Pelodiscus sinensis: one gene and its partners. The protein of the gene in region 2 purifies or fractionates together with the protein of the main gene of each other region. This does not show direct contact. Links are inferred from orthologs where the notes say so. Each region holds a gene or a part of one and is shown on either strand. Other genes may lie near its edges. The genes, in order: SAP30, SINHCAF, BRMS1L and ARID4A.

Region 1 (8,296 bases), on a different chromosome or scaffold from region 2:
ATTATATATGTTAATATATTATAATATTCTTAAAGATAATACATAAATATTAAAATATTATGTATACATTAATGGAGTGAAAAAAGAGCTCTCTTCCAGTCCTTGGACAAATTAAAATTGGAAAAATTGTATTAACAGACTTGGTGGCAATTAAGAACAAGCTTTATATGACAACTTCTAGGACAACTGTTCAGCTACCTCTGGAGTGTCGATGTCTTGCACTGGTGAGTCACCATCATCATCACTGCCTTTTCTCTTTCTTCTGTTCCGCACACTCTGAATTAAGTTTTTGTGGAAGTCACAAATGTAAAGATGTCTTGCCTAAAAATGTAGCAATGCATGTTTTAAATACAAATCCACATCCAGGAAATACATGATAATGTAAATTATACTTGTAGTAATTTATCATGAAGTGGATCCATCAAGAAGCTCTGGTGACATTACCTATGACTTTAAGAAAGCTGTTTCTACCAGAACCCATACTTAAAATTTGGTATGCTGAAAGTTACCACACGTATTTGGCTTAAAAAATCCCTCCTATCATTGTACTACTGCAGTGAACCAATTCAAAGTTGGTATTAACAGGCTGTAGAAAGAGCCAAGTACAGCTCTCTTGTTACTCATCAGAATACAGGAAATAGGATGCTAAAATTACTTTGCAATTATTTTAAATGAACTGCTATCTCACTTCACAACTCTCTTCCTTGGTTTTGCTTCCACCATCCAAGAAAACGCATTGTAAATAAAGTATGTGTATGTCTAGTTTTAAAATTTTCCTTTTTGTAGGAATCAAGCTCATTTTGAGAGGAAAGGCCTGTAGCGGTGACAAAGTATCTTTAAAAATCTGTGAATTTCTTTTACAGAGAAAATATACACATACACATAGGGCTACTGACTGTACATCAGTATCTCACATGATGATTGGAGCTGTGGGTGCACAGGTTGTGGGGAGGAGGATGGCAATCAAGCACTTAGAAAGTTAAATTTGGGATGATAAAAACAAATGAAAAACCTAAATGCAATTTAATTCAACATATAATCAGAAAAAATTGGGGGCCTAAGCTTTTCCTTTTGTTAATGCAGAAGAGCTTTTTTGCCCATTTACAATAGGCTTTAAGTTTACTTCACCAGCTCTCTCATAAACCATGATTCAAGAGAAAGCTCACAACAGCCAACAAAAGCATAAATATAAATTAGCAACCATTTTTCTCCAATCAGCATGAGTTTACTCAATCTCTTGTGGGTGGTAAGTGCAATAAGTGTATTAGAACCTTTCTTTGTGTCAGCATCTCCTAACATTTCTGCTCTGTGAAGTAAAAATAGATCGCCTTGGCAAATACTTGTGCATTTCTGACTGAGGAAACAAGTATTCATTAGAGAAGGAAGCCGGCAGACATTTGCTCTGCAGATAACACTGCTCCCGATCTTCGAAACGTATCTGCTACCAACGGGTATTTATTTCTCAGCACACACCAAGGAAGGGAGCCAGGAGCTCGTGTTGCCTGCACACGGTAACACACGCTCGTGGCGATTTCTCGTAGAGAGCAGTACGAAGAGCCTGATGGCTGCCAAACGGAAGACACGGTGGCCAAGAGAGACGCGCAGCATTACAACAGGCGGCGGAGCGGCCAAGTGTGCTGCTCTCACTAGAGTCAGCCACACAAACACGCATGGAGTCCCTGCTCTGGAACAGCTTGGAGGGGCGGCCGGGGGAGAGGGGAGTGCAGCCTCCAGCTTTCCCAGCAAACGGGGGCAGCCGGACAAACGGCCTCTCTCCGGACTGCCACCCTGATTTTTCCGGAGGGAGCAGAAGGGAAGATGAGAGGAGTCTCCTATCCCCCATCACTGCACAGAAGCAGTTTAAGCTTCACTCTTCCAGCTGACCGCACCAAGGGCAAACCTCAAACGATTTAGCAAAGAAGCTGCTGCCTAAAGTCTCACACTCACGGGGGGGAAGGGGAGGGAGGGAGTTTAAGCCTGTGCGGGAAAGACTCTTAAGGCCGGAGTGGGGCTCCGGGGAGGGGCGAGCGAGGGATTGTGCTGTGCTCCCGGACAGCTGCAACGCGGCGCGTGAAGAGAGACAACAGGACCCGCAAGTCGCTTCCCGATCCCACACCTGGGGGGAGCTCCTACCAGCGGCTGGGCTCGTTCCCTTGGGGGCGTTCGGGCCGGTGACCCCGCAGGAGCAGCCGTCACTGCCTGCCCTAATGCGAGAGGGGCGCATTCCCCGGCCGGCCCGGCCCTGACTGCCACTCACGCCCGCCCCGGGACACCCTGTCTCTGCCCCAGGGGCGCACAGCGGCGGCGGCGGGTTTCCAGTCCTCACTTACACTCTTGTCCAGCTCGATCTTCACCTTCTTCTGCGAGATGCTCTTCTGGATCCTCTTGCTGAAGCTGGCGTTGCCGGCGGCCCGGCTGCACCTCTCTCCTTCCTCTCGCAAGCAGCACAGCTGCCCGGCCCCAGGGCCCGCAGCGCCAGGGGGCCCCGCGGAGCCGGCGGCGGCGGCGGCACCTGCGGCAGGGCCGGGACCTAATCCCGGCGCCGGCACCTCCACGGTGGCGGCTGCATTGGCCACAACAGCAGCAACGACGGTGGTAGCGGCAGCGGCCTCCCCTCCTCTCTGGGTCACCTCCTCGGGGGCGAACCCGTTCATGGCCCCAGCAGCGTCCCTATCCCGGCGGAAGAAATCGCCGACCCGCCCGGGCTCCTCACCCGCCTGCGCTGCCCCTTTGTCCGGCAGAGGAGCAGGATCCGTCCTCGCCGCCTGGGCTGAATCAAACTTCCCCGCTGTCTGTGCGCTTGGCTGCAAGGGAGGGATTTAAACCTGCCCCATCAGCAATCGGCCCGACAGGCAGCGTCGCTGCAGGGGGCACGATCCTCCTCCCGGCCTGAGGGTCACCTCCGTCCCCGTGGCCCCCGGCAGACAGAGCCCCGCAACAGGGGGCACAGCCCCTCCCCCAAGGGCACACAAGGGCTCCTTCAAGGGGCACAGCGAGATCGCTGCTCGGCCCCCTCCACTCGGGGCCCTAGGCTGTTGGGGGGCTCCCAAAGGCGGCCAAGCGCCTCACTCTGCAAAAGCCACGTCCGTCCCCCGGGTCACCCCGCTTCCTCCTTCCCCCTCTGTCATGTGGAGACTTTTCAGCTGTTTCCTATGTAACAACAGCAGCACCCAGCCTGCGGCTCCGCTCCGCGATGCGCATGCGGCCTCCCGCCTCAAGGGGCTCATGGGCGCTGTAGTTTCTATCATTGCAGCGTCGGCAAGGGCGGGGAGGGCTGAAAAACTACAGCCCCTGAAATGCACCGCGCGAGCCGGGCTTGCGGGCCTGGAGGGCCGCTGTAGACGTTTGTAAGCCCGCCCCTCCCCTCTGCAATGTGATGGGGGCGGGGGGAAAGGGGGTGACTGAGCTCTTCGCCAGTGAACTGCCGCGTCTCAGCCTCCTCCTGGGTCTCCCTCGCGAGGGGGCGGGGACCGCAGGAGGCGGCTCCGCGCTGCGCTAGGCCCACTTCTCGCTCAAAGGACGGTCCGAGCGGCCGTTGAGATTTGAAATGCGCCTGTTTGGAAGCTGAAGCGGAGCCGCTCGCCCCAGCCCCGCCCATATCCCTCAGCGCCGCTGCCAAGGCGGCTCGGCCCAGCCCGCCCCATCTCTGCCCCCTTGGGTTGGTCTGACAGGCCGGGGGGAGATGCTGCGAGGCAGAATATTGGGGGAGCGAGCGAGGCCTTGCGTGAGAGGCGGGGAAACGCCTGGTACCACCAGGCAGCGTTGTCGCCTCTCCCCCTCGCCTCGGCCATGTTTGCGCGCGGACGCCTGGGCGGGCTGCAAAGCTCCCTTGCTGCGCGCGTCCAGGGACGCGAGAAAAGCGGTTCCCCTGCCCCTAGTTTACCACCGGTGGGGTTTTGTCTCCCACAAGGGCGCTGCGTGCCAGGATAAGCAGCTGCAAGCCGGAGGGCTCGGAGCGTGTTGTTGCAGCTGCGTGGCTTGCCGTTGGTGAGCGCGTTTCCCCCCAGGCCTGCCTGCCATGGCGCACAGAGCTAGCTCGCCGTGGCAGGCTTTTAGGCGTTTCTGCAAAATCTTATTTTCCTCTCCTTTTGTGACTCTTTTCTTTTGGGATAAAGGCTGGACTACATGTCCCGTTCACCCCTCAACTGCAGACGGGTGGTTCGGACGGGAGTGGTACAAGGAACTTGGGGTGGCACCTCTTCAAATGAGAGCTGGCTGACAGCTCTAAACTTAGCCTGGGATTTTTGCCTGTGTTTACTGAGAATAATTGGTCCTTGCTCTTTGTGTTGTTGATAGCTTTAGATATATAAACATTGGAAAGCAATTAGATAACACCATACAGGATGAAGAATAAGAGTTAATGTTTTTATAGTAAATATTTTATTAAAAAAGGCTTTGGTAGTAACAAACTTAGTTCATTTATTAGCCAGCATTTTTCCTGTATCTCCCTTCCTGGTGGTAGGACCATTTATTTTGCTGTAACAGTTTTCCCTATCACTAGTTTCCAGAACTTACAATTAAATTGTAAATGACCTCTCTATCATGCTTGACAATACTCTAACTCAGACCTGCCTTCAACAGGAGGAACAATTAAAATGGAGGTAATGAGCACAAAGGGTGAAAGCTCTTGTTCAAAACCTAGTTTCTAAACTGTATAGCAAAAGTACATAAGGTTAATAAACATAAGCATCCAACAGTTCAGCTCTCCCTGGTAGAGGGATAGAATGAAGAGCCAAACTTTGACCTATTTTTCTTGATGTGTTTGCAAAGTCCATGGTAATGAGTTTCCTCTCAGATATAGCTTTTATTTTAAAGCCCTGTGAAATTGGGAATCAAATAGTTAAATGCAACTAGGTCATTGAAACATTCATTCAGCTGTATTAATTACAGCATATTCAATAGTTACTGAATCAAAACAGGTGGAGTGCCAGATCAAGGGGTGATCAGAGAAGACATGTTCTGTATACGCTAGGGCTGTCTCTACATTGGCACAGTCTTGCGCAAAAGTAACCGCTTTTGCACAAAAACTTGCTGCCTGTCTATACTGGCTGTGAGTTCTTGCGCAAGAACACTGACCTAATGTATGAAATCAGTGCTGCTTGCTCAAGACCTATGATACTCCCACTCAGGAATAAGCCCTCTTGCACAACTGTTCTTGCACAAGAGGCCAGTGGAGACAGGCAACATGAATTTCATGTGCAAGAAAGCCCTATGGTTAAAATGGCCATCGGAGCTTTTTTGCACAAGAGGGCGTCTACACTGGCACGGATGCTCTTGCGCAAAAGCACATCTCTTGCGCAAAGACACATGCTGGTGTTGACGTTCTCTTCTGTAAGAGTTTTTGCGCAAGAACTCTTTTGCGGAAATCATGCCAGTGTAGACGTAGCCCAGGGCTACGTCTACACTGGCAGCTTCTTGCGGAAGAACTGTTTTGTGGAAGAGTTCTTGTGCAAAAAGTCTTCCACAAGAACGTGTCTACACTGGCATGTGCTTTTGCGCAAAAGCATCTATGGCAGTGTGGACGCTTTTTTGCTCAAGAAAGCTCTGATGGCCATTTTAGCCATAGGGGTTTCTTGTGCAAGAAATTCATGTTGCCTGTCTACACTGCCCTCTTGCGCAAGAGGGCTTAGTCCTTGTGGGAAGAGGAATAACTCTTCTGGAAGAAGCCCTGTTTTCTGACACTGTACTGTAAATTTACTTGCGCAATAACGCGTGTGCAGTGTAGATACCCAGCAAGTTTTTGCACAAGAACAAATGTTCTTGTGCAAGAAGCTGCCAGTATAGATGTAGCCTAGGATTCTGAGTCAGGAAACTGGATTATAACAGTTCGGCTGCATCTAGACTGGCATAATTTTGCTCAAATACTTTTAACTGAAAAGTTTTTCTGTTAAAAGTATTTGCACAAGAGAGCGTCTGTACTGGCATGTGCCTTTACGCAAAAGATTTGTTTTTGCGCAAAAGCATCTGTGCCAATGCAGATGCTCTCTTGTGCAAGAAAGCTCCGATGGCCATTTTAGCCATCGGGCTTTCTTGCGCAAGAAATTAACGTGGCTGTCTACACTGGCCCCCTTGCGCAAGAATACTTGCGCAAGAGGGCTTATCCCTGAGCAGGAACGTTGGAGTATTTGCGCAAGAACCACTGATTTTGTACATTACAAAGTCAGTGTTCTTGCGCAAATACTCGTGGCCAGTGTAGACAGGCGGCAAGATTTTGCGCAAAAGTGGCCGCTTTTGCGCAAAATCATGCCAGTCTAGTTGCACTGTTCCAGTCTGTAGTACACATGGAATTTTAATATGATTATATAACTTAATATTACAGAATATGGTTAAGGTCCTACCTAGACTGGAATTTGAAATTATTGCAGTTATATAACAACTGAAATTCAATTGGGCATGCAGACATATTATATAGAAGGGATATGTCAGAGTTAATAGGAAGCTATGTAACTCTAGTACAGTGGTTCCCAACTGGCAGTCCATAGCAGCTCTGAAGGCCAGGGCTGGAGTATACTACCCAGTGCCTCACCTCCCCCACAGTGGCTGTTGGGAGAAGTGTATCCTGCCCTGCCTTTCAGCCAACCAGCACTGGACGGGCAGGGTCTCCTGGATGCAGAAGAGCAGTTTGCTGCATGGTAGGCAGGGCCACATGGAGCCTGGCACGGCAGCCTTAGAACAGCTATGACCTGGGCAGCAGTGCTCATCTGGTGGTTGGGAGGCAATGCAGGGGTAGGTGATGGGGGTGGAGCTAGTGCTGGAGAGCTCTGGAGGTGGGGGGGGGGGGGGGGTTCTAAGAGGTAGGGGACTGGCACTGGCATCTCAGGGTGAAGCTAATACTGCTGGGCTGCAGTAATTGGTACTCAGTAAGCATCACCTGATAAGGGTGCTTATCAGGTAACTGATTAAGTGGTTACCCATTCACATCCCTAGCTAATATATGGGGTCAGAGTTTGAAAGTGAGATGGGTAAGCTGACAGAATTTCAGTTACAAAAATACAGGATTTCTTTGATGAAGTTTGAAGAAAGTTAAGATGATCTTAATGACCATGTTTTGAAGAAAAGCCATATCAGAGACCAGTATGTGGGCAGTTTGACCTGGTTAAAGTTAGAGCCCAGCTTAGTGACTAGAGTCAGAAATAGGAACCAGGAAATTAGTCAAGGATCAGAGCCTGAATCAGGAACCATCCAAGGGAGCAGAGCCTCAGCAGACTGAAGTGGGACAGGAACAAGGCGAGAGTATAGCTAGAAAGAAGACAACACAGGAATGATGACAGCTGCAAGCATATGTGTTGAGCACTGACCTATCCCTGATGCTGAACTTAAATCCTAGGGTAAACCAAACAAGGCTGACCTGAGGGCTGAACCAGCTAGCACACCGGTGGGCAATAATTATCCCATGATTCATTAGGGTTAGACCCAGGTGAGCTGCCAGCACTTTGTTTACCTGCACCACCCACAGGTACAGCCACTTGAAGATCCCATTCACCACTGATTACCTTTCATGGCCAATGGAAGCAACATGGACCAGGACATTGGTTCCCACAGCTTTCATTGGCTGGGTATGGTGATCCACAGCCAACGGGAGCAGCTGTACATATGGAGGTGCATGCAGGTAAATAAAGTGCAGATAATCTGTGGGAGCTAACTCTGGTGAGCAGCATCTGACTTATTGCCCACCCTTGAGCTAGCACTAGGCTTAGCTGAGAGCACTTACGCATCTTAACAGGCAGGCATACAGAGCAATTCACAAAATTGTCCTTCTGTCTGGCACCATCATGATATGTTGTGTATTTTCCTGCTAATGCAAGGGTAGAATTTTGTGATAACTACAGATCTGTAGCTTCCCTGGGAGACATTTATTTTAGACATTAATTTTAAATGTTCTTCGTGAAAAAAAACACAGAACTGTATCTAATAAGTCTGACTAACTTACAGGTTAATGAAACCTGTTTGATCAACATATTTTGAAAAAGATCTTAGATCTGACAAAAGAACTATATATGTATATATTTACAGTGCATTCATCACTGTGATGTCAGATCATCTCATAGTAAACAAAGAGATCCTTAATTCTCTCCTCCTTCCACTATTATCTATTAGTGGTTTTAGAGAGAAATGGAAGACAGTCACATTCTCTAAAAGTCTTATCTGCTCTCCAATGGGATAAATTCCTCTTCAAAACAAGCTTCCTCATGATTAAATAACACATTTCTATAAATTTATAGTGCAAAACATATGCAAGACACACATCCTTATCCAGAAGTCTTGCTGGCAAACTATTACTTTATATTAGTTGATA
Region 2 (7,673 bases):
GAGGTGCCATAACAATGAGTCCCAGCCTGTTATAATGACCAAAGACTAGGAATGCATATAGACAGATATGGGACTGCAAGCAAACAATGAGGCTGTGTCTACACTGGCGTGTTCTTGCATGAAAACGGCTGCTCTTGTGCAAAAACTTGCCGTGTGTCTACACTGGCTGCTCATTCTTGCTCAAGTAAACTGACGTTGTACTGTAGAAATCAGGGCTTCTTGTGCAAGAACTCTGACACTCCCTCTCAGGAATAAGCCCTCTTGCGCAAGAGCTCTTCCAAAAGAGGCCAGTGTAGACAGGCAACTTGAATTTCTTGCGCAAAAAGGCCCTATGGTTAAAATGGCCATCAGAGCTTTCTTGCACAAGAAAGTGTCTATGCTGCATGGATGTTCTTGCGCAAAAGCACATGCCAGTGTAGATGTTCTCTTCTGGAAGAGTTTTTCCAGAAGAACTCTTCCGCAAAAGAGTTCTTGCACGAGAAGCTGCCAGTGTAGACGTAGCTGCGGCTGCGTCTAGACTGGCATGATTTTGCGCAAATACTTTTAACGGAAAAGTGCAAAAGCATCAGTGCCAGTGTAGATGCTCTCTTGCGCAAGAAAGCTCCGATGTGCAAGAAAGCTTGATGGTTAAAATGGCCAAGAAATTAACATGGCTGTCTACACTGGCCCTCTTGCGCAAGAATACTTATGCAAGAGGGCTTATCGCTGAATGGGAGTGTCGGAGTATTTGTGCAAGAAGCACTGATTTTGTACAGTACAAAGTCAATGTTCTTGCGCAAATACTCGCGGCCATTGTAGACAGGTGGCAAGTTTTTGCACAAAAGCAGTCGCTTTTGTGCAAAAACTTGCTAGTCTAGACGCACCCTTCAAGTATACTAGGTGGTCTCTGCACACTATCCGCTTAAGTGTTAGGTTTTGTGTAGGGATCATGGAAAGAGTTTTTGAAGAGGGATTTGAAGGTAGCCTGGCAAAGGTTGGGGACAGCATAAGAGAACACTAATGTGTGAAATGTAATGAGTAGGCAGTGGAGTCTGTGGTCATAGACCAATTGGTGATGAGTATCAACAGCTCAATAATAAATAAGCATTTGCAAGCGCAGGCTCTGTGTTCTTAGTTGCACACACAGAACTAATTGTTGCATTTGATCCACTCTGTGCCAAGGAAGGGTCACATTTCTCCCAAGACTTATCAGCTGAAAATGGATCATCTCTTGAATGTTAGGTGTACCTAAATAGCTGGTCCTGCAACTTTCATTAACGTGGATACCCTGTGCTTCTGTGAGTAACATCTGCAGATGTGATTCCTGGATAAATATTTTCCCAATTAATTACACTTCTGCTCAAAACAAACTTTTTCTTTGGTCTTTTAGGTCACCCATCACTTCTTCCAAAAGGAGCCCCAGTTTATTTTTGAATCCTGATCATTTAGCTAAGGAAGCAAACTTTAACTAATTTTCTGTGAAGTGGGTTGTGCCCACAAACGCTCATGATACCATCTACATGTTTTGTTAGTCTTTAAGATGCTGCAAGACTATTAGTCTGTAACTGGAAAAACAACAAACTCAGCTACCCCCTGAATCATTTTATAAACAGTATTTTGTGCCTATGCTGTTTAGTCATTGTAGGATAGAATTTGTTTTTATGGGGGAAATGACATCATAGAATTATCAGGACTTTGCAAATGTGCAAAAAAACCCAGACTATTGTCAAGAATGCAAACAAAAATAAGAATTATTTTAGGTCTTCCCAGTGTCCCTTTGGAGGCCTAATCCTGCTCTCATTTAAGTAAACTGAAGTTTTGCCATTGTCATCAGTGGGAATGGGGTAAGCCCCACTTCAAGAAAACACTTGTGTGTGTATATATATTTAACTTTAAATATGTTAAATGATTTAATAAACTGAAGCTTCCATTATAATTTAAAATGTCACAGGCAGGTTAAAATATTTGTTTAAAATCCTCTTGTTAATTACTAGATCATTAAAAAATACAAATCTGAATTACTTTTCACGTGTCTGAAATTTGTGCCCTTCATCTTCAATAACAAAAACAGGCTAGTTACTTTTGGATCTAGTTGCTCTTATTTTGGTTCCTATACACTGTAATTCAACAACTGCAAATATTGGAAGAGCATTTAAATCCAAACAAAAAATCAGTTTCAGTGAAATAAAAAAATCACAAATTCCATATTAGATTTTGTAATTTTAGTTTTAACAAAAAAAATTGGACATATATTTTGTAATCTTCATTGTGTCAGGATGACTACTGCTTGGTATAGATATTTTTTCATTATTTAAATACAATAAATAAAAACTAAACACATTCACTATTAGGGTGTGTCACTTTAAGAGTAGTTTATAATTGTATTTCTAATTTCATATCACCATGACACAAAGTGGTACTCTATAACCCTGTCACTCTCTGTGGCACCTAGGTCTTTGACGTAATAGCTATTTTTAAAATGAAATCTATTTCAACATAACTCTGCAGATGTTGTAACATGGGGTGGCTGCTACTGAGCTGTCTGTGTGAAGAAGATTGCAAAAATGTGTGTTAATCTAATTTTAAATGTAAAATTGTTTTACCTATATTATTTTTTTAAAAAACATTAAAATTAACGAAAGTCCTTTTCTTCTGCCAAGGGGAATACGTTTTCACTGAATGTGTACATTTTATCACTGCTGTCAAAGGTGCAAAATCAGTCAGAAATGAGTGAAAGATTTGAAAGAGAAAACTTGGGTTATGTTTTGCACAAGGCAAAATTAGGAGTAATCATTAATTTTTTTAAAAGCAAAACATGCTCCTGAGAATTCTAATATTCATAAATGGAAAAAAAACTGCAAAAAAAAAATGCTGAAACTAGATGTGCTGAGCGTATTGCCATGCCCTCTGGCTTGAAGTGGTTTCCATCATATATGGAATTTACAGTTGATTCAATAGCTCTCAGCACCCCCACTATACAATTGTTCCAGCACTCCTGCATAGCATGAAATATGTAAATGTAATATTTAACCTCAGAAATTGTCATGCTGTAGCTGTAGAAAAAATACAAAGTTCACAAACCTAAAGAGAAAGTATTATAAAACAAAATATTTATTTTAAAGGTTTTTTGGGGTAAATCCTATCATAATTATTTGCTAATAGTTTAAACCCATTAACTACTCCACACTCCTGGGCTATGATTAGGGCTCTTCAGCACTATGATACACAAGTAAGAATATTTATTGGATTTATAGAGAGCCACATTCATAGTCTTCTCATTGAATCTGCTCAGTGATGGGCTCACGTGTGTCAAAAACCATGGCTTTTTATGGAAGCCAAACGTATAAATTCCCCTAGAGTTTTTAAACACAGAAGTTGTGGCCAGAGCAACCATACTGCCAGCCCTGACTCACCTCCAACTTTTGCACTGTGATTAAGAAATGTGGGGAGTTTCTCAAAACTATCCCCAAAGTCTTCGGTCTTTGGAACAAAAAACAGGACTATGTTTTAGCTACACCAGACTAACACTAGACTAACATTTCTATCACTATTCGCTCTTTGGGTGATAGTGCTGAGGTTACAGATACTGTGCAAGGAATCTGGCAAAGGTGGGAACCTTCTGCTTTAGTCTATTTCAAACTATGGATCTGAGAGAACCAACTGATCACAGTACAGTATTTACTATTGCTATTATTACTTTCTAGTCTAAGCAATTGCTTGGAAGAGTCTCTGTATTTAAAGGTCTATTTTGTGAAAAAGTTTGGGAACTCTGGCCCAGAGGTGCAAGAATGCAGTTGAGTTCCCGTCTAGCCAGGCCCAAAGAGGACATTCTTCTTTGATAGGTATTATTTTTAGACAGTTTAAAAAGTTTTGACATGGTCAATTCTTTGTCAAATGAGAGTGAGCAAACTGGGATTAGCTGCCCATTAGATAGTAGTGGAGGCTAGTTTTGGTTTCTAAAAGGAAATATCTCAGGCTCCTCAGTTTCTCTTTGTAAACAGGTATCCATAGAGCCTCTGTAATCCCAAGTATCTCGCTTGAAAGATAATCCAAATCCTCCCTCGCAGGCACCGATGTTCCTCTACACATACAAAAATCCACCTCCCCCCCCCCACACACACACACTGAAATGAGTCGTGACTGAGCGTGACATTTGGCAGAAGATTTCCTAAGCAATTTGCAAAGGAAAGCTTTGCAGCACCTGAGCCGGTTCGCCGCAAGAGTACTGCACAGAAGCCGCACCACTCATTGTTGTGATTCCATTTGCTACAATCTCCTCCTACTCCATTGAGAGGAGGTGGAGAGTGGGTTGTTTGTGTGAAGTCATCGCCAACGTCACAATGAGCCGCACCGCCTCCTCCTCCCAGGCTTCCCGCGCGGCCCTTTCTCCCTTAAAAGGACAATGGGGCCCATATGCAAAAGAACTCGATTGAGTAGAATTGAGCCGTGGGAACCACGCTTGCGCAGAAAGAGGGGGAAGAAAGCGACCTATGCAAATGAGAACTGATTCCAGCAGTAGTTGCATGCAGACTCGGGGTGCAACACAACGAGGTTGCGTACTCCGCGAAGGAGGGGGGATTCATCGCGCACAACGCACCACGCTATTGATTTGTTGGTGGCTGCAATTCAGTGGTAAGTGATTTAATTTTTCTTTCTCCGCCTGCGATGTTTTTTTTTATCCAAGAAGTGAGAAACGTCTTTGGTTTCAGGGGATTTTTTGCGTTTACCAACCAGGCGTTTTGTTAAATAAAACAAGTTTTTGGAGGCTCCCTTTAGCTGCAGGGCAGCCACATTCCTGTCCGAAACAATTTTGACACACGCTGACCTGTGTGCGGCAATCTATTTTTCTTCCTTTTAAAAAATAACTTAAGACCTATCAATTTAAAACTTATATTGTGGCGAACATGCCGCTTGCATTGTTCCAGATCCAGTTCACCCGGGGACTTTCCTTCAAGTGAAATCAAAATGTTTTCTTCCGAAGAGAGAGGGCGAGTTAATTTCTGAAGAAAAAAACTAGAAAAGTGATCCCAGGCAGTGCGGTTGGCTAGAGAAGCTGTATGTCCAGATCAGGATGTTATCGGGAAATATCAGTGTAAGGGACATTCTTCCAGGAGCCGTAGTAAGGGGGAGTGTATCAAACCGTCGCTTAGTGAATGTTTTGAATGGCTCAAGACTCTTAGTGCTCTCTGTAACGAGGTGGAGGCTAGAAAATGTAAAGTTCCTTCCACTTCGTAGAGTCATGTCAAGCAATTTTAAGAGACGGACATGGGGTTGTTTGGTTTACTTCTTGGGGTGTGAAGTGGGGTGAGATTAGCTTGGCCTGTTGCGGGTGCTGCTTCCCAGGTCCGTTGCGGCCCGTTACTGTATGCACGCGGTTGGGCATTCTTTGCTCAGCTTGGGCGAGAGATGCGGATGTCATGATGAGAAAAAGAAAGAGAGTCCTGGCGCCTAAATCGCTCGGGATTCCAGAACCGAATTGAGTTTGGAAGGGTTAAGAGAGAAATGTTCCATTTTCGAACGTTCTCCGGGATCTTGTACGTGTTGTGTTGCAGATTATACACCTGTGGCTTTGTTTTTGAGCGCACAGAAGTTGTTGCGTCGTGAGTGGCAGGGGGCAATCCATTGCAACGGCAATGTACGTTTTCTCTTTTTTGTAAGGGCGGGAGGGGAATAGGGAAACTGTTCTCTTCGACTTGTTGGCTTGTTTTTAGAAGAGATGTCGAGATTGCACACTCCAAGTAATCTGAAATGGACAGGCAGTGTGTGCAAGCTGACGTGACACGTGCTACTAGGTGCGCAGGCTTGCTTTCGTTTTTAATACCCTTTTTCTATTGTAAATACCTTGTTATCGAAAAGAGGTGTCCTTTTAGCGTTAGGATAGGGCGATTTGATAGTGATGGCGTCTTGCCATTTTCAAAGCAGAGGGCGAGCGAAAGTTAACTGCATTTCTTGTCTCCTCTTTGTAGTTAACATGTTTCCGTGTAGAATCCAACGCAGTTTAACTTCTAGTTAAATTATCCGTTTCGCGGGGGCTTGTGTGTGTTTTGTCTAGTTGATCTTACTAGTTAGCGTGATCTTTAAATCTAGTGCATTCTACAAAACAGTCCGACCTACCCTTGATGCCGCACGTAGGCAAAACCAGGCTGAAGGGAAAACAAAGGGCTTGCATGTGCTGCAGGCAGTGCTACCTCCGCAACTGTGTCTGCAAGCCAGTCGGCTCACCGAAACTCGGGCTGTGATTAAATAACGAGGGGACGGCTGGCGGGAGAAGAAGGGGGGGGGGGAGTTGTTGCGACAGGTTTCGTATCTTGGGGAAGTTTTGAGCTTGACTTTTAGTGCCTGGAAGACTTTGGGGGAGTTAAAGTTTAGGAGCGTGCACGCTCCTGCAAGGTGACCATGCTGCGTGCATGGAGGAGCAGGAGTGTTTGTGTCTACAAGCCGGCGGGAGGAGGCAGCGCCTTTCACTCCGCTGGGTCTACACTGCAGCGGATTCCAAGCTACGCCGGGTACCGAAGGCGGCTTGGCTGGGGGTGGCTGAAGACCTTTTTAAAGGTTCTTTGCACGGCGTCCTCCCCCGGGTGTGCGCGTGTTTATGGGAGGTCTGCAGGTTCCCCCTTTGAAGTGGAACTGTTGCCATGTTTGAATTACGTCAGGGGGAAGCCATGAGGAACCAGCGGCGGCAGCTCGGTGCAGGGAGAGGTGAAGGCAGGGCCCTGCTGGACACCATGAGCGCGAAGCGCGCGCGTGTGCACCACTCAGGAAGTGCTGCTGAGCTAGATGGTGGTGCACGGTGCAGGGGGGGGGACGGGACGATTTCGCCCCTTTTGTTCTGGCAGGCAGCGCGCTGCGGTAACTTTCTCTCGGGATCTTGGCCGGCGGCGGGTGCCCCTTGGTGGCTCTCATGCAGCCAGCGCCGGACAAGACCCGCAGCCAAACAGCGTGCGATAGGAAAGTGAGTGTCACTGGGGCGTGCGGAAAATCGGTGCCCGCCACTGTGACCCCCGATTGCTCACCACGCCTTGCAGCCGGCGCTGGGAGGGGGGGCGGGGATGCGATGTCCCCGCCGGGGTGAGTCCTGGGGGAGGGCAGACCTGGTTGGTTTAAAACCTACTTCAAGGCTAGTTCAACGGCATCCGCGGCTAACGCGCTCAAAGGCTCGGGCCGCCTGTTCCCATCCCCTGCACACAGTGCTGAGCTCGGGGCCCCGCTTCCCGGGAGCGACTCCTGCCTTCCATGTCGCCCCGGTGCTGAGGAGTTGGGAAGGGAGCCTCGCCCTGACTAAAAGGCGAGCCGCGGCGTTTTCGCCGAGACCTCGTGACACGCACTGTTTTGCAATGTGCTCTCCGAAACCACCGCCTGCCTTCCCGTAGCGCGCCACAGCCCGCCGGGCTTTCTCCTGGGGCGCATCCTCGTTTGGGGCTTGGTCACCTTGGCACGCCTACGCCAGAGCGTGCGGGTGACCCTCGGGCTTGTCCACCTGATCATCATGGCCTCTCTGAAAAGTAGGTCGTCCTTGCGGAGGTGACTGGGGGTGGGTGGTCTTTGTTCCAGCAGGCAGTGCGGTACAGCTGCTGCGCATTGATGCTGAATGGCCCTCTGCTGTTTTCCCCCTGCCTCTTCCCAAGTGGCCTTTTGCCTTAAGTTTAGTTCCTCCCTGACTCGGGTCGAGCTCAAGGACAAAACTTTGCCAGGAT
Region 3 (7,564 bases), on a different chromosome or scaffold from region 2:
CACCATCTCCACAGTGCTAGGGGCGGGGAGGCAGAGGCTCACGCCAGGTCCTAGACCAATCCCTCACTACAGCTCTGCAGTTTAAATGCAATAGAAGCTGGGCTGCCTGCACACCTGGCTCCTATCATATTTAAACTGCAGAGCCTCAGGGCCCCTTATTGACTAATCGTGTAGTCGATACAAATTGTATCAACTACCTGATTAGTCAGTTACCCGCTTTTTAACATCCTTAATATAACTACCCCATCAATTTACTCCTCGGGAGGTCTGCCTCACAAAAGTAGAAAGGCAAACAAGGTGTTAAAATATCTTCCATTATTCAGATGGGTCTCCAGTATGTTTTAGGTTCTAGATATATTTCAGTATTTTTGTAACTATTGCTTTGTTTTAAATTAATCAGCAGCTGTTTACTTTATAAACAGATGTCAAGGGAGTTTAAATCAAGATAAGCAACATCAACTCCAATCATGCCTGAGAATCAGTGGTTCTCTGGACCCTTTCCTTTCTGCACAGCATACTGGGTTGCTTAGATGTGTACTCCTGTCATTTGCTACAATGTGGAATGCACCACCTTGAGATGTGGGAGAATAGTACCCTCCTCCAACTGCAACTAATACAACCATAGGCCCTCCATTTCTATAGCTGCATACATACATACATATTCAAGCAAGTCTGACTTTCCACCAAGCAGAAGACAGAGTTTCACTTATACAATCACACATGAAATCACCCTCATGTTCACCTGGATTTATCATGAACCTCTGACTACCTCACCTGCACTCTGCCAACTAATCCATCTCCACTAGGATTATTGGTAACATTTCAAAACTCCAAATAGCTACAAAGTATCTTTAAAAATACTGCCAGTAGTTTATTATATTCAACTCCCAAAATGTGATATTTCTTCCCTGAAGGTGCATAAACTTGACAAGCACGATGGGTAATAGTCAGTCTTAGAAAAGTAACTGGTTTAGTATCAGATATTTCACTACCCATCATGCAAGAAGTTAGAGACAGGGATATCAAATCCCTCATTTCACAAGATCATTTGTTTCTAGACCTGGGATACCACAAGGTATCTGACATTAAAAATCATCACTTACGCATGGCAGAATTGTTTTGGTAAGTTGGATAGGTTTCTAAAATTTCTTCTCCATTCAAAGACTGAGTGGGGGGGGGGCACACACGGTAATTAGAGCAGCCTGGTTTAAAGGTGGAGATAGTAAAAACAGCGCCAACAGTAAAATTCTGAACTAGCTCTTCTATAAAATGTGGCCAAAACTGAGATACTGGAATGATGAACATAACTTGTGACTTTGACATCCATCACTAATATAGCATTTCTAAACTCAAGGGAGTGAGCTTGGAGGAATCTTGATTCTCAAGCATAGAGTGCATTGATTATCTAACTTCCAGACAACTGTTGATAAAATAAAGCAGCTGAAGTTGAAGGTAAGAATTGGGAATAATTTGTGAGCTTATCAAAATGTCATTTTAGCCAAACCTCCTTCTCTTGCTTTAAAGCAGAATTTGCTATTTAACTCAACCTCGCTTTTTGCTTATTAGAAGCAATACAGTAACTTAAAAAACAACAGAAAAATTGACACTAAGGTATTTCTTTTATTGAACCAACTTATGTTGCTGGAAGGCATATATTATTCATTAACCCCTAAGCTTGTCTGTCCCAACTTGTATTTAGCTCAGACACTCTTGAAGTCCTTCTCCTGACCTGAAGAAGAGCTCTGTATTACTGGAAAGATTGTACTGTCCACCAACAGATGTTGGTCCAATAAAAGACATCACTTCACCCATCTTGTGCATTTCATATCTGGACCACCACTACTATTAACGGATATTTATTGTGATATGTGGTATTTTAAAATTTATACTTATTCTTTGGCAAGTCTTTTCTATGGAACTTTTCATAACAAGTTATCTAGAGTTTCTTTAAACAGTTTCAAAAAGCCTTAAATGGGGAACAAGACAATATTATGCAAGAGTTGGCAAATATACCCTCCCCCCCCCCCACACACACACACACTCCTGGGAGGGGACAAGATGCTACAGTGCAGTAAATGGAGAGGGGAGATTGCGCTTTGCTTCCCATATCAAAAGGTGGGGGTGCGGGATTGAGGAGAAGGTACTATGCAGGGCATGGGCAAAGAAGCTGACAGTGACCCCCTAAATCAAGGAAAGGTAGATAAGGAAAAGCTGTCATACAGGGAAGGAGCAGGATGAAGGTGAGAGGGCATATGTCAGGAAGGGCATATGTCAGAAACTGCCAGAAAGGGAAAGTGCCCCCACATCAGGCAAATAGGGCAAGAAGAAACTGACATGCAGAGGGAGCATGGTAGCACAGCATGTGACCACGAGGTAAAGAGAATGAACGGCGGGCAGGGAGGTATCCTTGGGAAAAGAAGCGCCTCAGAAACAGCCAAGCAGGGAAGAAGGGGAAGGCCATTCCCTTAGCTAGAAGGGACCCATACGCTGCCATACAAGGGAGAAGGGATGTATCCACAAGCTACCATGCAGACGGGACAGGCAGGCCGAGCCCCCAGTAAAGGGTTGTGTGTGTCACAAGTTGCCCAGCAGGGAAGGGGGGGGGGGCTGCACGCCCCGGCTCCTCCAAGGAGCGATTCGGAAGTTGCAGCGCAGGGGAGCCGGGGGCGAGCCGTGGGAGAGGGGGGGGGGCGTGTCGGGAGGGCGGGGCAGACGGTGCCGTACGGAGGGGCGGGGTCAGATGTTGCCGGGTGGGGGCTGGGGCAGACTGTGGCGAAGGCATTAACAGTCGCTTACACCCACACCCCGCGCGCACCGTTATCCAGCGAGCGAGCGGCCGCCCTGCCCCAGCATCTGTAATCAGCCCCTGGTCCCCGGTACCTGAGCTGTCCCCCTCCTCGGACACGGACGAGCTCTCAGTTTCCTCCTCTTCCGAGGAGCTCCCCTCGTTCTCCCCATAATCCACCTCCATCTCATCGTGGTTGTTCTCCTTCTTCTCCCGGGAATGGACCGGCATCCTCCCCCGAGATGCCGCCGAGCGCCGGGACCGCCCTTCCCTCTGCCGCCACCACCGGCAGCTCCTCCCCCTGCCCGCCCCTCAGTAAAACCGCGCCATTCCCGCACGCCACACAACGCAACCCAAGTGCCTGCCGCATGGCTCTTCGCGCCGCTTATTGGTGCATATTGGCCCGAGTGGGCGTGTCCCCCGCCGAACGCAGTTGGTGTGGTTGGCCGTTGCGCGAAGCACTATGGTAATTGTAGTTAATCTGGAGAAGACTCGCTGTGGCTTCATGGACATGGATTAGATAGCGGAGTTGCCAGGCTGAGGCTTGTGAGCACTTTGAATTAGGGAATTTCCATCTTTCCATGGAATCTCCTTTGCAGCAAAGGTGCTGATTTAATTGAAAGACTTCTCGATTGTTACAGTTAATGAATTAGAGCTAGGAATATGCCAGCCCTCGGCTGGTTGCAGCTCTTGTCAGCCTTGGATGAAGACAGCGTGAAATGGTTGGGTTGGTTGACTGGCACTTGGGCAAATGATCATAGAGTATCAGAACCCTACATCCCCTTTTTTTCCCTCCACTCAAGATCCTCTCATCATCTCATCTGAAGAAGTGGGTTTTGCCCACAAAAGATCATTATACTATATATATATATATATAAACTTCAGTTTATTCAAACCGTAATTCTCCAAAATGCTTACAAGGAGTTTTTTGGTATTGTTTTGTCTTTTATCTGCAATTACTTAATTAAGTTTTACTTCAGATTAACTAATACATTTATACCTGAACTAGACAGATCACAAAAATTCATGGCATATCCTAGGCTGAGCCACGACATAAGATTAAATCTCTACAGCTTCAAATTTGGGGTTCAGATAAGAAATGATTGAATAATGGAGGTATCCAGGTGGTTTGTTCAAAACTGATAAACTCCTTGGGAAGGAAGCAGAAGCAGGTAGCAAGGATGGAGGTCAAAAACTAGAGAAGAGGGACACAGATGACTGAACCTTCAGAAGAAAAAACTTTGGGCAGATGAGAAGTAGGAACGGGCACCTAGGAGCTAGCTGTCTCTTCTCCCCACCCAAACTATGTTTTATATTTGCTCTTAAATAAAAGGTCCATATTTTTCCACAGATACATGCACACAACTTTTCAATGGTGAATAAGTTGCATTTCTGGGGATAAGGCCCAAGAGTTTCATTGGCTTCACTTCCGCTGAGACAATCAGTCTTGGACAAGCATTCAAGCTTCTAAATTAAATTATTAATTAATAATTAATAATAACTTGAAACTCACCTTCACCTATTTATCTTAAAGTGGAGTGCTCTGCTCTTTTATCCACATTAATCATTATGTATTTCACTGCTCTTTAAAATTGTTACCCACAACATTGTGAATTACATAATACCTTTCTATACATACCAGAGAAACTGAAGTAGACTTTCCTCCTCTACTTTAGAACACTAATAAGGCAAGATGTCAAAAGAGTTTTGTAACAATGGGATCCATGTAAGAATCCACAATACAACATTTCTCTATTAATTTCAGAGATTAATGTTTCCTTAAATGAGACTGGGATGTATTCAAAGATACTTTGTGAAGTGTTTAGCATCAGCTGGAGCAGGGGTTCTCACACAGAGAGTTCCAAATCACAACTGCAGATAGCTGGTGGGATGGGTAGTAAATAGGAAACCAAGGTTTAAGTATGTGACAGACTTACTAACCATTGTTTTATTAAACTGCAGCTAGAAAGACCTGTAATAGAGTGTAAATTATTACATTTATTAATGAGGCCCACAAGTACTAAAACACATTGATCATGGAAGGATGACAAGGAAAAGTAACAAACACTAAAGCAAAAAGAAAAAAAATCACCATCTTCTGACTCATGTAATACTTCTTGTCTTGTCTGTTTCTCCTTTGGATTAGTATGTACATCTATACAGCAGGGCTAAAGTCGAACTAAGCTACGCAACTTCAGCTACATCAATTACATAGCTTAAATCAAAATAGCTTAGCTCAACTTTAGGCGCTATCTACGCAGCAGGAAGTAGAAGGAAGAACATTGTTCCTTCAACTTCCTTTACTCCTTATAAAATGAGGTTTATTAGAGTTGAAGTAAGAAGTGCTCCAGCTCGACATTATTTCACAATAAAGGCTAATAGTGTAGATGTGCTCTTTGTTATTTTGGAATAATGTCAGTTATTCCGAACTAACACTGCTGTGTAGACATGCGCCAAGAGATGAGCCTATGTAGATATACATGTTTGGAAACTGAACACCTAGATACGTTGGAGGAGTCTGAAGTGCTGTTGAAACTAATCTCCCAATAATCAGACATTTTCCTATCCTGTTGTATTTAGACTGATGCATAATAAGCGATTCAATAATACAAAAAAAATGTTAAACTACCTTATCCTCTGTATTTGTGAACTGCCTAATGTAACTAAAAATAAACATAACAGACCTGGTCTAGACTTAGAAGTTTTCCCATCATAGTTATGTTAGTTAGGGGTGTAATTTTTGCCTACATAACTCAGCTGGTAAAAACCTTAGTACAGCTGTAGCTATACCAGCAAAGCTTCTAATTGCAGATAAAAAACAAGAGGGTTTTGCAATTTAACTAAGTTTAGTATACCTATGCAAGGGAAACCCTCCTAGCAAAGACAATGTTTAAATAAAATACTTTATTAATGGTTACAAAATACCATCAAATTACATTTTATTGCTTTGATATTTTATTGCTTTGAAATCTACTGCTTCTCTTTTCCCACCATAGAATCTTCAGAAAGCAGCTCATCCTCTCAGCCAGGAACATTCAACTGCTATGGAATCTAAAAACCTCATAATTGGGTTCTCTATTCCATTGTCAATCTTCTGTAACACATTCTTGCTTTTCAAATATCCTCCCTTATACATGTTGCTTTCCCTTCTCCCATGGCCTAATCCAAATTCAGCTAGTTCACCAGTCTACACCAGATAAGTAAAAGGCCATTATAGTATTGATCAAAGCCCAGGGGTGGGCAATAATTTTTCCCCGGGGGCCACTGCAAACGTTTTTGAATGTGGCCTAAATGGGAAGGGGCAGGGCTACCCAACCGCCAGACCATGATTGGTCTGGGGATGGAGGAGCCCCTTGCCCCCTCTTCCCACTAGGCACCCATGCCCTGGAAAAGGCTTGGCATGCTTTCCCACCCCTAGACCAATCAGGGCCTAGGGGCGGGAGAGCACAGGAAGCCTCCTCCCGCCCTGCTAGGAGCACATGACACTATGAAGTGCCCTGGGCTCCTCGCAAGGCTGGGCAGGGCGAAGGAAGCTTTATGCAGCTCCCACACCCCCCAGGCCCTGATTGGCCTGCGGGCGGCGGTGTGCACGAAGTCTCCTCTGCTCTCTCCCATCCCCCCTCTTCCGCCCCGTGAGCAGCATATAGCGCTACAAAGAGCCACATGCTTCTGGCAGGGCGGGAGGAGGCTTCATGCTCTCCCCCGCCCCCAGGCCAATTAAGGCCTGGGGGCGGGGATCACACAAATCCTTCTCCGCTCTGCCCCTGCCGCACGCTGTTCGCAGGGCGGGGGCAGAGCGGAAAAGGCATCGGGCACTCCCCCATCTCAAATCCTTAATTGGCCTGGGGGCGGGGAAGCAGCAGAGCCTCCGCAGGCCAGATCCACCTGCTTGGTGGGCCAGATCTGGCCCCCAGAGGCCCTTTTGCCCAATCCTGTCAAAGACCATGTAAATTGAGCAATTAGTTGCCCATCCAAAAGGCTTGTTAACTGAAACATACCACAGTAATGCTCCAGGACACTACATCATACAAAAATGTTATTGCAGTGTTTTGGACTTCTACTACTAGTACTACTACTACTACTACTAATAATGTCATAATTATGGTTGAGAGAAGGACTAGTTAAACCACCTCAGTGGAAAGAACAAGCTTTGTGGCCTTGAAAAAAGATAGAAAATATGTCCATTGTCAATCTCAGAAAGTAGAAGAAATATACTTGTACATGTTAAGTTCTACAAAATTAAAAAGGAGCTTTTGTGATGTTTCCCAGTTTTATATGTACAATTGTAAAAACAGAACCAGAATGGAACATTGCTAGGTCATCTAATCCAGGCTTCTGCATTGAAGCAAGACGAAGTATTATTTAGGCCATCCCTGATAGGTGTTTGTCTAACAAGTGGTTCTCAATATGTGGCCCCTGCATCACTTGTAGCCTAATTACCACACCGTTCAGGCTCAGGTGACATCCTCACGGCCACATCTAGGGCAGGTCCCCTGGTCTCAGAGCTGGAAGAGGCTATGTACACAAAAATGGGATGGTGCACGACTGGGCCCAACATTACCGCCCACCAGCAGCATCAGGGTCTGCAGCATCAGCAGGAGGCCAAAGCGTTCAGTGCTCTGCCATCCCCCAGTATCACAGATCCAGTAACCTTGACTGGATCAGGCTCCTCAGCACTAGAGCTTGCTGCAGCCAAGGTAGGAGAACAGCATGTGCGAGAATAGGATGTAGTAGGCTTGGGATGCAGGATCTGTGGGAACGGGGCGGGGAGGAGGAAAG
Region 4 (7,599 bases), on a different chromosome or scaffold from region 2:
TTTATAGTTGCATCATGTATTCAAATATACACCCAAACTTTAGTCCTGTTGACCATTTCTTAATTAGGTCATAAATAATGCTCTATGCTGCTTCCCAATATTGCACACAGCCTTATCTTTCTTTACAACAAGATTTGACAGTGCAAGTAAAATGAGTGGTGAAGATTTTTCACATTTAATTATTTTCATGTCCCCAGTTTGCAAGAATGTACTAATAGTCATTAAATACTGAAATGCTATTTAAAATAGCAACTTTAAAAAAAAGAATTTAAATAACTGATGATGAAAAGTGAATAAGAACAAACAATAGTTATGGTTTGTTGCACTATTTTGCAGCATACACAGATCACTATGGCCCAAAGAAATACATCAGTTTTGCCAGTAAATGTCAGTGTATTTGGCTGGCTAAAAAGCTTACATCACACCGAGTTTATGGGTAAATTTTTTGCTCAAAGAATTCTGACCCTCAATTTTATCAGTCTGACGACTGTCTCAGGAATATCTGTTCAATAACCTCAAAGAGAACTGAAGCATATGTTTACAAATAGAGAAAGAAACATTAACATAAGGATGAATATCAACTTAATACATTCATATTGTATTGTTTACAGAAAAGCAATATTTCAATTGGAATGGAAGCTGCACCTCAGACAGCTGCAATTTCAAAATACATACAATAACCAAAACCTTTAGATTTCTGGTTTTTCTGTGAGGAAGAAAAAAAAGAAAAAAAAAGGCAGTTCATGGTGTGCTCCACATCAGATTTTCTGAAGGGAAAAACAGCAGCAACAGATCCTCAGAAAAGTTTGCTATAACCTTTCAAACAAGTATCAAATGTAATTTTTGTTCCTTGCAAGGTCTTTGTTAAGATTTATTTTTCTAAAAAAGATATGCAAGCTTACAATTTTAAGAACATCTGTCTGTACCTGAACATTATTATTGTACATTTTATTTCTACATTACTATGTTTAAAAAAAAACAGTCACAGTAAAAAACAATCAAGAAATGAAGAAATGCAATGACATATTTTGTGTTCAAATTATTTTTGCTCATCTCTGCATACAAGAAGTGCTTCCCTCCATGTGACTGATCTTGCAACTGGTAAGCTGTCTTTGCACTGTAAAAACTGAAACTGCTAAGGAAGGATAAAAACTGTGGTTTTGCAAACTCACAAAAGCTATAGCCAACACAGGAAGCATTTAAAAATAGTACTCCAAGTGACAAGTCAAAGCCATCTTATGTGTCCAGAGTAGTGTTACCACAGAGGTGAGGGATTGGGATTAGGTGCCCTGCACTGAGAGTGAAGAAATGGGATTTCATTCCATTCAACATGTGTGGATTTCCACAGCCAACTTTTACTTTGCTGTTGTTCAATGAAGATGCAGTGATTAAAAATACAGTGGCTGGTTCAAGTAGAAGAGACAGAGCACAAATGCTTCCCCCTCCTCCTCCATCCAAGGACCTAGACTTACCTTCATCTTTGAAGGTTATTTGAGGGATTCCAGCTCAAAGATATCTTCTGACCCTAATTATACTGAAAAAAACCTAGAAAACAAGAGAAGGAAGATGATCAGACACGTCTGCCAGCCTACAAAATTATTAAAAGGAAACAGCTTGATCTTAGGAAAGCTGCAATTCAGCTACAAGCATATGGTAGATTATTAAACACACTCTTCCACATTGTATACACACACCTCCCTCCACCCTAGGAGCACACCCACCCCTTACATCCCTAAAGGAATTCCCTCCACAGGAAGCCTCTGAGCCCCACTTGCTGCCCTGCATGTGCAGCTGGAGGGGATAGCAAGAAGTGCTGAAAAGGGGTCCTTGTTGGGAACAAATGGGCCCTTGGAGGTCTGGGCAAGGAGCCGCTACTACCTCCTTTTCCGTCCCGCTTCGGCTGCCTCCTGCTGCTCCTCAGCCCCTCCGTGTGTCAGGACAAGTCGCCATTGCTCCCTCCGCCTTTGCACCATGTCAGGCAAGAAGAGGCTCCACACACACGCAACGCAGGCAAAAATAATATTACTACTACTATTCCACTGGAGCTGTAAGCGGCTCGCAGCCCAGCTGCTGGGACAAGGGCAGCTCCTGCGCAGCAGAGACAAGGCCCTTGGCCGCCTTCTTCCCCTCTCAACTTTCTCAAGCACAAGAGGAGAGATTACTCAGGAAGGACCTGACCCTCTCCTCTCCACCCCGCCTCCTCCGGCTATAAACGGGGACCGAGGAGTTAGACACCCCCCCACACACACCCGCTGCCTCCCCGACTACCCTCCAGACCCCCCCCCCACACACACACACCTCCTCACAGCCCCTGCCTCCCAGCTACCGCTCGAGCCCCCCTCCCCGCCTCCCGCAAATACCCTTCGACCCAAGACACGACCCAAACCCCGCCGCTGCCGGGCCCCCCTCCGAGCACCCGCTCCCCGGGAGCGAGGGGCGGGGGCGTTCCGGCGGGGGGGAAGCGAGGTCCCTGGGAGCCGAGCAGGGGAGAGCCGAGAGGGGAACCTGCCGAGCCCACCCCGCGCCCGGAGGGGCTGAGGGGGGCGTTCCCCGTCCTCGGGGGATGGGGCGCCCCCGTGCTCCGGGCCGAGAAGGGGGGGTCCTCGGCCAGAGAGGGGAGGAATCGCCGGGCGAGCGGGGGTGGAAGTTCGGCGGGGGAAGGGAGTCCCCGCTCCCCCGGGGGGGGGGCCTCCTCCGTGACTGAGTGAGGGGGGCGTCGATCCGCCGGGTGAGGGGTCCCCGCTCTGCCTCCCCCGGGACGGCAGCAGAGTTGCGGCTGCGGAGCCGCTCGCTGCCCCTTCCCCCCCCCCCTACCTTTAAACTCGGAGCCAAGTCGGGATCTGCCGCGAGCCCGGCCCGGCCCCCAGCCCCGCTCGCGCCAGGCGCCTCAGAGACAGCGGTGGGCAGAGGCAGCGGCCGCTCGGCTCCGCTCCGCTCCACCCCCCTTCCAGCCCGGACTCGCACCGACTCACCAGCGATCAGCCAAATAACAAGCTGTTGAGCAGTAGCTGCCTTGCTCGAACTCCCATTGGCCCTTCGTGACGCCCAGGGGCTCTGCCCCGCCCGGATTGGGCGCCGCGCACAGCCCCCTCCCATTGGTCACAGGGTAACGGCGAGAGCCGATTGGTCAAAAGCCGACGCAGGTAAAGCCACGGAGACTTTTGATTGGTGAATCCGGGGGACTCGACTCAATTGGAAATTTCCGAAGTGAAGTAATCGTTTGCCTCACGCTGATTGGTGCAAACTGGATCCGGATGTAGCTCTGCCTTGCACGATTGGCCAGCGTGAGGGCCAGGAAGAGAGGCGGGGCGATGTGATTGGTGCGGACTGCTTCATAGGAATGCAACGGGGGCGAGGCGGAGCTAGAAGCCTGCAGTAGCGACGGTTGCATAGTTGCGTACCGCGCATGCGCCGCGGTGGGCCTCTCGGGCGCCATTTTGTACGATGTTCTTTCCCATTTTAGGCGGGGAGGACGGGAGCGGGAGTGGTCTCTGCGCTCTCTGGGGGGGAGGCCTGCCCTCGTCCCAAGGGCGAGGGGGCGGCCGGGGCTCCGTGGGACTTACGGCTGCAGACCGTCTTCTCTCCCTTCGGCCGGCGAAGTGGCTGGACTAGTAGCGAGGGGGGAGCCTCTTCCCTTCCTCAGCGCGGTGATGGCGCAGCAGCTGGGGGAGGGGGAAGCTCGGCGAGGCCGACCCCGGAAGTGAAGGGACCTCTGAGGAGCCGCTGGCGGCGGCAGCAGAGGAGGAGCTCGGTGAGAGGGGAGGTGGCAGCCGCCCGCGGTGCTGGCTGGGCCCAGGAGGCGGCGGAGTAAGCCGGTCGGCGCTGCCCCGTGGGGCTTGGGGTTCGCCGCCCCGGCGGGGAGCGAGGCCTGTCGGGCCGCGGCGCCGCTGGAGCGCGCGGGCAGCCCCCGGCTGCGCTTCCAGGAGCGCGTGGACGCTGAAAGCTGCAGCTCGTCACCTCGACGTGGGGCGGGAGCGCCCCAGCGGCAGCCGGCGCGCGGCTCCGAGAGGGTGGGTAGAGCTCGGAGGAGCTGCCTGTCCCGCGGGCATAGTGGTGGTTTGGGAGCTCGCCAGCTGCTGGTTTCAGACGCAGCCGCGTTATTGCACGTGCTGTCGGCCAGTTTCCTACGTGTTGCCCTTGGAACCAGGGCACCAGGGCGGTTGCGTGTGCGCTGTCTCAGTCATACTTATGGTAGGGAGGGGAAGCGTGTTTTGCCTCCGAGGCCGTTTTTCTTGGGGCTGAGAGCTTTTGACCAGTCCAAAGGCAGCTCAGTTTCCTCTACACTAAATAGCAAGCGGTGCGGCTTTTCATGTTTACGTCATTGACTGTTGTTAAAGGGTAGGGACAGGGAAGCTACCCTAATTTGGTGTTGCTGCCAGGAGTATTGGGGTGGGGGTTGTTCCTGGGATAAGGAACTGAACTGACATCTTAGGCTGCCTTTACACTGGTACTTTCATTGTTAAAGCTCTTGTTGCTTAGAAGTGTGAAACTTCACTCTGAACAAAGTTTTAATGATGGAAAAACGTCTTCATGTGGGCACCATTTCATTGGTGGTGGCAGCATTTTCTGCTACAAAACTACCACCCGTTGTTGGAAGTGGTTTTATTGTGTCAGTAGGAGAGGGCTCTCAAATGATAAAAAGCAGCTGTACAGTGCAGCTTACCATGGTTCTGCTGCAGTGGCACAGCCATGTTATCCTGAGAAGCACAGAGCAGACAGCTTAGTTGTACTAATACTCTTTAGATGGCAATGAAATGAAAGGTTGTATTTTCTGCACCCTTAAGTCAAGTTTGGAGTGAATGTTGTCATAAACTGGTTATTTGGAACACTTTCATTTCCTTGGAAACACCAGAATTATTTTGACTCGTTTTATTAGGGGTCACTAACACTTATTGTGTACCAGGAAACTAGATCCATATAACTCTGTTGCTCAGGGGTGTGAAAATCCATATCCTTGGAGCAGTGTTGTTACACCAACTTGACCCATTGTATAGACATGGGAGAATTCTCTTGTCAGCCTAGCTACTGCATCTTGAAGTGGATTACCTATGCTGAAGGGAGAACCTTTTGCTTTGACAGTAGTCATCCACACACCTCATTTTGAACTGAAAGTACACAATCAGCAGCCAAAACAAAAAAACACCATACAGTACTATGCTCTGTATTAAACATAAACTACTAAAGGGAATGTGTAATAAAAAAATACAAAGAGAACTCTTCATTTAAATTAAGGTAGTTAAAAGTAGCATTCCATCTGCATATTACACTTTCAAAGCTGTATTAATCAGTTGTAAACTTTTGAAAACACAAACATTTTATTCAGAGTTAGCAACAACATACATTCCTGAGGCATTTGTAACATTCTAGTGTAGTTCTGTAACTTGTTTTTGGCTGCTGTCCATGTAGTCAATGAACTTGCAAAATGCTGTGTGCATGTGTATACCTGTTAAGCTACCTGAATCAATTCATATTTAATTCCAACAAAGTAGATTTTTTTAAAAATAAACTTACTTTACTTTTAAATGTGTAAAGCATTTTATGGCTTCATATATTAACTTTAATAGATAAAGCACTAAACTGAAAGTCAAGCTATAATGTGAAGTGCTGTCATCACTAAACCTGCTTGAGAGCTAAATGTAATTTTATTAAATGTTTTGCATAATAAACTTGACTTGAGAACACTCCTTCAACCTTCTGTCTAGTGCTTTAGACTCCCATCTTGCAGTGGGCTCTGGTTGCAGGAGTTCACCATGCAGAGTTTATAGAAAGATCAGAGTTCCAGAGATGACCATTATATGCTGAATGCTGCCAGAGGGGCTTGATACCTAATAACCAGCTTTCAAGTCTGTTCTAAAGATTTTGGTTTGTATTGGATCTGAAGCATTAGCAAGACCTGACAAAGGAAAAGTTTCCTAGTTAGGCAGTGTTGCATAGTTTGGATATGCTTTAGGTACTTCAGTAGGGGATAAAAGCTGGTTTTCCCTAGCATCATCGCTGTCATGGAGGGGAACAGGAGGCAATGAGGCTCTGCCCTTTCAATGTAGGAAGAGCCACCTGGCACAGCAGTGTTAACTCCTGGGGGTGGTGCCAGCTGGGATGCCAGGCTTCTCCTACACTTAAACTGCAGAACTGCAGTGGGAGTAGTGAGCACCCTCCCCCTTATCTACTAACAGTTCTGCAGGCTGAATGTCATTGTTTTAAAATCTGACCATTTGGGATAAGGGACTTTGGTTTTTGTCACTTTTCACTTACCTCAGGACAATTTGTTCCCCTCCTCACTTTCTAAAAATGAGGCAAAGAACTGAGAAATCAAATTAGGACAAATTTCTGAAGCTTTCCTTTAGTTACTCCTTGGAGCTTTGCTGTCTTGGACAATTACACAATATGCTTTCTTTTTTATTGAACTGATTATGGACTCTATAGCTATATTAGCAGAGACTTCTATAAGCAATGCCACTGTTTAAATTATTTTTTTAGATTTCCACTTTTGTGTTCAGGCCTAACCCCCCCCCCTCCCCCCCCCCCCCACACACACATTTTAGGCCATCCTACTTAAAAGACTTTCTGGTGGGTTCTACAATTTGTTTCTGTATGTTTTTATTTTAAAGCAAAAAACCCACTTTGCTATATAACTGCAGATCTTTCAAATCTTTGCCACTTCTGAATGCATGGAGGTATGTTGCATGAATTGAGGAAAACAGTCTACTACATAATTCTGTATGCAAGCTATGTAAACTAGTGATGAGGGCCAATATTGGTGCTTGTAAGATGTGTTCTAAAAGCTTGAGCTTTTAAAAATTATAATGTCTTTGCATCTAATCTTGATTCTTACTACAAATTGTTTAATCTGGTAGAAATGAACTTGTGCCTCATGAAGAAAATTTTTTGATTCAATTAAAATATGTACCGCACATACCATGAATTTCAGAAGTCTTCTGTTGCTTGATTTGGATGTAAACATACTCACTTGTGTATTGTAACAGCTGGTGCTGAGCAACTGCATTTCCTGTTACCCGGGGTTGGATTTGTTAGTGTTCAAAATATCTAAAACAGAGGCCACACCTACTTGGCGGCTTAAATTCTGGCATCCACCTTTGAGGGACATGGTTTGTCTTTATTTTCTAGTTTTTCTTAGATAAGAAGCAAACCAATACTATAAAACTGCTTCACACAATTTCAGAGCTAAAATTATTTCACTGGGATGGCAGAAGAGAAATCCTGTTAGTCTTTTACCTTAATGTTGCAATAGAGGAGTTAGCGTCTCCTATCTTGAGTTTTTACAAGTGATTTATCTCTACCAATCGGAAGTAAAGTGCTTCCATAGTTTTTCTTGTACCTGACAATTAGTTGAGTTTTTTTCAGTTCTTAAGTTTTTTGACAGATGTCTTCATCTTGTCTGTGCTGCAGCAAGAATGCAAGAGGAGGTAAAGTTGCATAGGTAACTTAATCTGAGATTGAATAAATGTGCACAAACACTGATGTGTGTGTTTGATGTGGATTTTTCAATAAATTCTTTGTGATCATGTGGCACAAATTAGATTTGGGGGAGGTATAAGAACATACATAGCTGAAATATTGAAGATGAGTATATTGATTTGA

Evidence for each region.
Region 1: the proteins of SINHCAF (region 2) and SAP30 purify together in Homo sapiens (affinity purification with mass spectrometry; 4 studies listed by BioGRID and IntAct, counting the BioPlex papers as one, with this or other methods). This does not show direct contact. The link is inferred for Pelodiscus sinensis from reciprocal best matches to the Homo sapiens genes SINHCAF and SAP30.
Region 3: the proteins of SINHCAF (region 2) and BRMS1L purify together in Homo sapiens (affinity purification with mass spectrometry; 3 studies listed by BioGRID and IntAct, counting the BioPlex papers as one, with this or other methods). This does not show direct contact. The link is inferred for Pelodiscus sinensis from reciprocal best matches to the Homo sapiens genes SINHCAF and BRMS1L.
Region 4: the proteins of SINHCAF (region 2) and ARID4A purify together in Homo sapiens (affinity purification with mass spectrometry; 3 studies listed by BioGRID and IntAct, counting the BioPlex papers as one, with this or other methods). This does not show direct contact. The link is inferred for Pelodiscus sinensis from reciprocal best matches to the Homo sapiens genes SINHCAF and ARID4A.

Annotation. Positions count from the first base shown.
Region 1 is NC_134715.1:68,329,385-68,337,680, reverse strand, and holds the start of SAP30 (histone deacetylase complex subunit SAP30), read right to left. Parts: upstream 3,142-8,296; 5' UTR 2,655-3,141; coding exon 2,331-2,654; intron 322-2,330; coding exon 199-321; intron 1-198. UniProt on the Homo sapiens protein: Involved in the functional recruitment of the Sin3-histone deacetylase complex (HDAC) to a specific subset of N-CoR corepressor complexes. Capable of transcription repression by N-CoR.
Region 2 is NC_134711.1:106,423,802-106,431,474, forward strand, and holds the start of SINHCAF (SIN3-HDAC complex-associated factor), read left to right. Parts: upstream 1-4,385; 5' UTR 4,386-4,611; intron 4,612-7,673. UniProt on the Homo sapiens protein: Subunit of the Sin3 deacetylase complex (Sin3/HDAC), this subunit is important for the repression of genes encoding components of the TGF-beta signaling pathway.
Region 3 is NC_134714.1:47,686,130-47,693,693, forward strand, and holds the start of BRMS1L (breast cancer metastasis-suppressor 1-like protein), read right to left. Parts: upstream 3,106-7,564; 5' UTR 3,017-3,105; coding exon 2,881-3,016; intron 1-2,880. UniProt on the Homo sapiens protein: Involved in the histone deacetylase (HDAC1)-dependent transcriptional repression activity. When overexpressed in lung cancer cell line that lacks p53/TP53 expression, inhibits cell growth.
Region 4 is NC_134714.1:11,393,128-11,400,726, reverse strand, and holds the start of ARID4A (AT-rich interactive domain-containing protein 4A), read right to left. Parts: upstream 3,112-7,599; 5' UTR 2,973-3,111; intron 2,967-2,972; exon of another isoform or gene 2,815-2,966; intron 2,266-2,814; exon of another isoform or gene 1,879-2,265; intron 1,546-1,878; 5' UTR 1,479-1,545; coding exon 1,473-1,478; intron 1-1,472.